Xenopus tropicalis: one gene and its partner. Each later gene encodes a partner of the first gene's protein in a complex. Links are inferred from orthologs where the notes say so. Each region holds a gene or a part of one and is shown in the gene's direction. Other genes may lie near its edges.

Region 1 (3,500 bases):
AAAAGACTAAATAAAAGTAAATGGGTTATTTTGAAATTAAAGGGATTGGTAACATTGTTTGCAGGTGTGAGTGTATTTTCTGTGGTTTAACAGTTCTGGGAATGCTATTTTATACAGTAAGAAAGATTGGCATTCACAAAATCAGCATTGCCTCCTCGAAAATACTCTGGTGGATGGAGTAAACATTTGTCATTTTTATTTTAGAATAAAATCACTGTTAAGCACAAAAATATAATGTGCTTAAAATTTTTATTGATTGTACCTTTTTTCCATTTATATGACAGTTTTCCTGTAAAACTAAACTTTGTTTTCTCTCCTAAATGCAGGCCAGGAGTCGCTTGCTTCTGACTGGAACTCCAGTGCAGAACAACCTATTAGAACTCATGTCCCTACTAAACTTTGTAATGCCACACATGTTCAGCAGCAGCACCAGCGAGATCAAGAGGTTGTTTTCTTCTAAAGCGGTAACTAAGATTTCATGTTCAACTGTTCCCCTTAAATTCACCTCTTCCACTAAGCTTATATAATAACTTTCTAATTTTTTTAGCAGCACTACTATTTTAGTTAGTATTTTAATGTAACATTAGTATTTCTCCAACATAAATGTCCCAACAGAGCTATGTATTTATAAGAGACCCCCCCCCATACATACCATAGGCCTCATGTCCCTGTAGCTGATCGCTACCTTTTTTTTACTTTTTCTGTAAGTATTTTCAGAGCACTCACCGATGTTTGTAAGCGCTCTTTATATTGTATTGCGGCCGCCATGTTGGATATTTAAATTTAGTCCAACATGACGCCGCGTAAGTAAATGCGCATCTTCTCCCTCCCCTAGACTTGGGTACTCCTGCTTGTGAGATTGAAAGGTAAATGCACATGCGCTTACTCTGGAGCTGGTCTTCTTATCTCCTGCACCGATTCGAAGACCAGCTCCAGAGTATTATGGGAATCTTTACACAGCTCAGCGTTTTTTCTTCCTGTTTGGCTTCTGATCATCTGAACAGGCGAAATATGGGGAGACTTAAGGGCACTATTGAGATAACTGAAGGTATGCCTGCAGTTTGAGATTAACTTTTTATTAGCCTTTCCTTCTCCTTTAAAATCTGTTGAAAAATCTGCAAAATAAGTCCATATTACACCACCTGCCAAGATCACTCAAAAGGTTCTTTGTAACTTTAGAACTTATTATAGTTACATAGCAATATTAACAAAAAAAGAGCAACCTTGTAGAATGATACCAGTAATCACTAAGGCCTAAAGGTAACATTTGTAGCAAAATGAACTAATCCAGGAAGAGTCACTTGTCCCTGAAGTACTGCACAATTCATCATTCATATTTTATATCTGCAGAAAAAAAATATACATAATTAACAATTACCCTAATACCACCACAAGATCATAAAAGGCAAGACATAGTAAAATCCTCATTTAGACCTCTAGGATGTTTAGTTTTTAGGGCCCAAATCCAATAACATTCCTTTCGTAATAAAATTCTCTTAGTATCCTGTCCCTCCCTTACTTTAATTTGTTCCAATTTTTACCATCTAAGTTGCGAGATCTGATGACCACATTCAAAAAAATTATTGGCCAGGCTTGTTTCTCTTTTTCTCCTTCGCCCGCGACAAATCTCCCCGGATTGCCATCCCACTGGTGAAAATGTAAGTCGCCGATGGGATGGCACACGCTGCGCAGGCGATTTCGTCAAATTGCTGAAAATGCCTCACGAGGCAACTTCGGCGATTTGCCGAAATCGCCTGCACAGCATGTGCCATCCCACTGGCGACTTACGTTTTCACGGGGCGACTAATCTCCCTGTGTGCCAGAGCCCTTAACCAGTTCTTTTTCCTTCTCTTTTTCTGTTTTCACATTTAGTGAAAACCTGTTAACTGATTGATTGTCTGGCTTATAATGTAATCATTTTACTGTGGTGTTTTAACCACCTTTTATATAATCTTATTTCACAATTTTATAAATACAGTGCTGCCTATGTGGAACACTGAGTGGAAATGAATAATTTCCTGGTAAACCTGAAGGTGGCAGTGTTTCTAATGGTGATCTATCACCACTGCTTGTGTCTCAGTATTCCTACATACAAATTAACACTTTGCCCTTTATTCCTACTTACATTTTATTTTAGAAATCCACCGATGAGCAAACTATATTTGAAAAGGAGAGAATTGCTCACGCCAAGCAGATTATGAAGCCATTTATACTGAGAAGAGTGAAAAGTGAGGTAATAGAAAATACAGGATATGATTTATATGACATATACATGCATTGATTGTAAGGTGAATGCAAGATGATTTCAACACCTAACATTAAGCAGCCTGAAGTGTTCATCATTTCAATGTGTTGTAACGCCAAACAACGCAACATACAGTAGACTGTAATCATGCACAGTTTAAGATTGAAACATCAAGCTGATGGGTTCTTATCCCATTGAGCAGTTTTTATAAATATTTAAATTAGACAGGGGTAATGTCCTATTTTGTTTTGCAATACCATGATATTGCAGGAAGGTAGCAGCTTGTTAGAGTTCTTACACAAACAATGGTCTGTTTTTGAGAATTTTAGTTATTATGCATCACATAATATTGCAGAGGTTATAAACACAATGAGGCCCTGCTATTAATTATAATTTCATTACAAGAAGCCAGAAGGCAATGTAGTTTAGCAGGCCAGGGGGGAATAGTATCAAATCATTGAGACCAGGTGAACAGAGCTATAAATAGTCCTTTCATAAAAGGGTCAGAGCCATAACATACTGACAGTACCAGACATAGGTGACACTACCTTAGTTTGTGAGACTCTTTAAGGCAGTCTTCCCCAACCAGTGATCCCTGAGCAACATGTTCCTCACCAACCCCTTGGATGTAGCTCCAGTGGCCTCGAAGCAGGTGCTCATTTTTTAATTTCTGGTAAGAAGGCTAGTATTGGTTGCATAAAAACAAGTATGATGCCAAACAGAGCCTTGTGTAGGCTGCCAGTCAGCTTAGGGGCTATTAAGTAGCCAATTATGGCTCTACTTGTCACCCCCATGAACCTTTTTTTCATGCTTGTGTTGCTCCCTAACACTTTTTCCATTTGAATGTGGCTCACTGGTATAAAAGGTTGGGGATCCCTGCTTTAAGGTAATTAGCAAATTAGAAAAACTGTCAAGTATTTTGGGAATTGTCTGATTCTCTTTAAAAAAAAAAGTCACTGATTTGGTGTGCCGTTTGCCCTACAGCCACACTGTTAGCAATACAAATATTTGTTAAGCATAAGATTCCAGACTGTCATCATTACTCAGCAATTCTGAACAGTTCACTTCCTTGTTCTTCCACACCTGATCCCATGTACTTTACACCATTCAAATTTTCTATATTAAATGTTCTTTAGTCAAATGGCTGTTGTATCTATCGTGAGTCTATCATTGTAATTCAAATAGGTCTACAATTAAACATATCCTTAGCAGGGCTATATAGAATAAATATCTACATTAAATAGTAGTAATTTCT
Region 2 (4,087 bases), on another chromosome or scaffold:
AAAGGTGGTCCTGTGTGTTTATGTGCTAAAAGGGAGTTTCCTTGTTATTCAGCAGCAACCACTAAGTGGCAGTGTGCTGCAATATAAAAGGGCATGCAGACATGTTCTGTTAGGTCTTAGTCCTGGGACTGCCTCTGTTAGGAGGTGTACAACAGGATAGTGTTCTAGTACAGGAGGTACTGTAATAGGTCACTCTAAGAGTGACAGGCAGGCTAGAGAGAATGGGCAGAGATAGCCCCAAAAGGAGAGAGAAGGGTTAAGACCCCCCAGCATTCATGGCTGGAGTCCAGGTCCTGTAGTGTTTAGTAAGAGGAGCCAAGTCAGCACCTGGGAGTGTTCCCAGTGAAGGGGCCCTACGCGTGGACCGGGGTGAGTTCCTAGGTGGGATCACCTGGTGGGAGTACCGGGGGTAGCCAAAAGAGAGAGTGTGTGACTTGAGCCATCTGTGTGACATCCTCTGAAGTGTTCTGCCTGCATCAACAATAAAGCAAGTTCATCTGGTTCATCATTTTAACCAGTGTCTTGGCTGTTCATATACTGAGGATCCTCAACTGTCTGGTAAGCAGCTACCCCAAGGGAGGGGCAAGGTACCGGGAGTTGCTGGGAATCCTGGTCCAAGGAGGACATCATAGAGTTTTCCCAGGGAGGAGATATATAGTTCTACCTATACCTACCCTGGGTGAAGGCACGCCATTTATTTAGATCATACCTCTCCCCCATAGATAAGCGGGGGCTCAGGGCTCCTGTAGCGCCACACGCAGGTGATTTGCGTGTTAAAAGTACCATAGTAGCCAAAATAGGGTTACAAGTATATTAGCTATCTTTATATGAGAGAATGAGGCATGACCAATGTTTCTTCTCTAAATCTCTAATTATTGCTTTAGAACCCTGCAGCCTGAGGAATCTAGGGAAAGTCAAGCACTTATTCATATTGCATACAAAATAATCATTTGATTGGTAAGTCAAGTAATTATCTAAATGTGTGGAAACTATTGCCCAGGGTTGAGGGCAAGATATTCTTTGATCTATGCCTGAATGACTGATCCACCAATATTTTCCTATTTCTGTCTCAGGAATCAGGGGGGCCTGAACAAAAAGTTTGACAACCACTGCTCTACCGGCTAATAAAGCTTTGCTAATGGCCCAAATCAGCACAGACATATAAGAAATAATCCCCCTTAGTAAAAAAAAACAAAACACTGGAGTAGATCACACAAAACAAATAAAATGTAATTCTTATTTAACTGCACTTTACTAAGACACTCAGCAAGTCCATGCCCCGCCCATTCCTGACATCACACTTAGTGGGCATGCACTTTTTGAATCGATCGCTCCGCTAGGATTTCGGCGCTTTGCTGTTGGGGACGTCCCGTCCGTGCGTGCGTATCCATCCGCTGTTTGCGCGATAGTTCGGTACAGCAGGCAGGCAGGCCGCGGGAGCCAGCAGAACAATAGAGTCTCTCGGAAGAGGCGGGAAAGTCTTCTCTTGCGCAGGCTCCTCACAAAGGGAAAGAAAAACACCCCCAACATGTCGGTAGCTGCAACGCGTGACAAGCGGAGTGTCCTGAGCACCGACAATGGCAACGGAGGCAGCGGGGAGCCCGACGGGCAGGAGCTACTGGAGAGCTGCGGGGTGTGCAAGAAGCAGTTACGGGCGGACACGGAGCCCCAGCTCTTACCGTGCCTGCACTCCGTGTGCCGGGCCTGCCTTCCGCCAGAGACCCCTGCGCCTGAGGTGGCCACTAACAGCGGAGACTTGGCTTCAGGTATGAAAGAAAGAGGCGGGAGGCCTGCAGCTCTCCTGCTCTGAATGTGCGGCTCATGTTGCCGCCCACCTTCCGTGTGGTGTCAGTGTGGGAAGGGGACCCGGGTTCTAAGCCTCAGTTTCCGGCCCACCATGCTCAATATCTGAACAAAGAGCTGCCTTGGTGCCCAGGGGAATGCCAGGCCATGCACGGTGCCAGCTTACTGTGTGCACCCTGTCTGCTCCCGGCATGGCACCCTGTCTGCTCCCGGCATGGCACCCTGTCTGCTCCCGGCATGGCACCCTGTCTGCTCCCGGCATGGCACCCTGTCTGCTCTCAACATGGCACCCTGTCTGCTCCCAACATGGCACCCTGTCTGCTCCCAACATGGCACCCTGTCTGCTCCCAACATGGCACCCTGTCTGCTCCCAACATGGCACCCTGTCTGTTCCCGGCATGGCGCCCTGTCTGCTCCCGGCATGGCGCCCTGTCTGCTCCCGGCATGGCGCCCTGAGTGCTCCCGGCATGGCGCCCTGAGTGCTCCCGGCATGGCGCCCTGAGTGCTCCCGGCATGGCGCCCTGTCTGCTCCCGGCATGGCGCCCTGTCTGCTCCCGGCATGGCGCCCTGTCTGCTCCCGGCATGGCGCCCTGTCTGCTCCCGGCATGGCGCCCTGTCTGCTCCCGGCATGGCGCCCTGTCTGCTCCCGGCATGGCGCCCTGTCTGCTCCCGGCATGGCGCCCTGTCTGCTCCCGGCATGGCGCCCTGTCTGCTCCCGGCATGGCGCCCTGTCTGCTCCCGGCATGGCGCCCTGTCTGCTCCCGGCATGGCGCCCTGTCTGCTCCCGGCATGGCGCCCTGTCTGCTCCCGGCATGAGAGGAAACTTCGGCAAATCGCGGTGCCGCATATGCCACCCCACTGGCGATTAACATTCTAGCCGGTGGGATGTCGCAGGCGACCAATCTCCCCATGTGTCACAGCCCTTAGGGCTCTGGCACACGGGGAGATTAGTCGCCCGCGACAAAACTCCTTGTTCGCGGGCAACTAATCCCCCCGAGTTGCCTTCCCCTGCCATCCCACCAACGAAAATGTAAGTCACTGGTGGGATGGCACACGCGGCAGCGCGATTTTGCGCAAATCGACGAAGTTGCCTCGCGAGGGTTTTTCGGCGATTTGTGTGAAAACGCGCCACCGCATGTGGGCAGGGGAAGGCAACTCGGGGAGATTAGTCGCCCACGAACAGGGAGTTTTGTCGCGGGCGACTAATCTCCCTGTGTGCCAGAGCCCTTAGGGTGAACACACAGCTGCTAGCTACTACACACAGAGCTACTAGTAGCAGCTACTTGTCGTGGCTACTGAAATAGACAATGCTGATAATTTACTGATAATCGTCTTTACGTGTGTTTAAGGGCAGTGACAGATGGAGAGATTAGTCCTTGAGAGGAAACTTTGGGTGACTTCGGCAAATCATAGCGACTCGTATGCCATCCCACCAGCGATTTACGTTCTAGTCAGTGGGATGGCATTGCTGGAAGATTAGTCGCACGAAGATTTGTCGCAAGCGACTAATGTCCCAGTTTGCCACTGCCCTTAGTAAAGGCAATTCTCATTTTTTTCTATGGCAGGGGTTTTTTTGAAGTTTAGTAGCTGTGACAAGTAGCTGCTACTAGTAGCTCAGTGTGTCTTCACCCTTAGGGCAGTGACCGACGGGGAGATTAGTCGCCCCGTGTCAAATCTTCGTTGTCGCAGGCAACTAATCTCCCCCGCAATGCCATCCCACTGGCTAGAATATAAATCACCGGTGGGATGGCATACGAGTCACTGAGATGTCCTGAAGTTGTCATGACAGGAAACTTCATGCGACTTTGGGACATTGCAGTGACACGTATGCCATCCCACCGGCGATTTACATTCTAGCCTGTGGGATGGCACTGTGGGAGATAAGTCTCCCCGACTTGCCATCCCGTGCATACGTGTTGCTTTGGTTTAACGAAAGGGTTTCCTTGCTAGGAAACTTTGGGCAATTTAATAACCACAGTTGATTCTTTAAACTACAATTACATTTACAAATAACATTAAAACCATCGTTAAAAAATGTGTAATATATATTTCTAGTTATTTAGATTTTTTTTTTTTCCAGTTTGCAAAAAAAAGTTTTTTGGGTTTTAATACTCCTCGTTGTGTAGCAGTCACAAGAGGCTTGATCATATATGGGTGAGACGCAGCATGCAAGAAGTCCATAGACCATTGCAATTCTGACAGAAATGTCAAACTGTCTTTTTCCTGATTTTAAGTTAAAGGGTGACTTGCAGAAAATATCCCTCAGTTTTTGCTAAACTTTCAT

The links. Proteins that work in one complex are often made in the same cells at the same time.
Region 2: the proteins of smarcad1 (region 1) and trim28 are in contact, whole or in part, in a crystal structure (PDB 6H3A), measured with the Homo sapiens proteins. The link is inferred for Xenopus tropicalis from reciprocal best matches to the Homo sapiens genes SMARCAD1 and TRIM28. Residues at the interface, in NP_001362784.1 of Homo sapiens: Asp156, Leu157, Ala160, Lys161, Gln163, Thr164, Glu167, Leu168, Phe169, Asp188, Gly189, Ala190, Ala192, Leu196, Ala201, Gly202, Gly203; in NP_005753.1 of Homo sapiens: Arg330, Trp333, Thr334, Lys337, Ile338, His341, Leu376, Lys377, Ile379, Val380, Asp381, Val383.

Annotation. Positions count from the first base shown.
Region 1 is NC_030677.2:76,745,647-76,749,146, reverse strand, and holds part of smarcad1 (SWI/SNF-related matrix-associated actin-dependent regulator of chromatin subfamily A containing DEAD/H box 1), read left to right. Parts: intron 1-326; coding exon 327-464; intron 465-2,137; coding exon 2,138-2,233; intron 2,234-3,500. UniProt on the Homo sapiens protein: DNA helicase that possesses intrinsic ATP-dependent nucleosome-remodeling activity and is both required for DNA repair and heterochromatin organization.
Region 2 is NC_030683.2:102,982,530-102,986,616, forward strand, and holds the start of trim28 (transcription intermediary factor 1-beta), read left to right. Parts: upstream 1-1,287; 5' UTR 1,288-1,528; coding exon 1,529-1,766; intron 1,767-4,087. UniProt on the Homo sapiens protein: Nuclear corepressor for KRAB domain-containing zinc finger proteins (KRAB-ZFPs).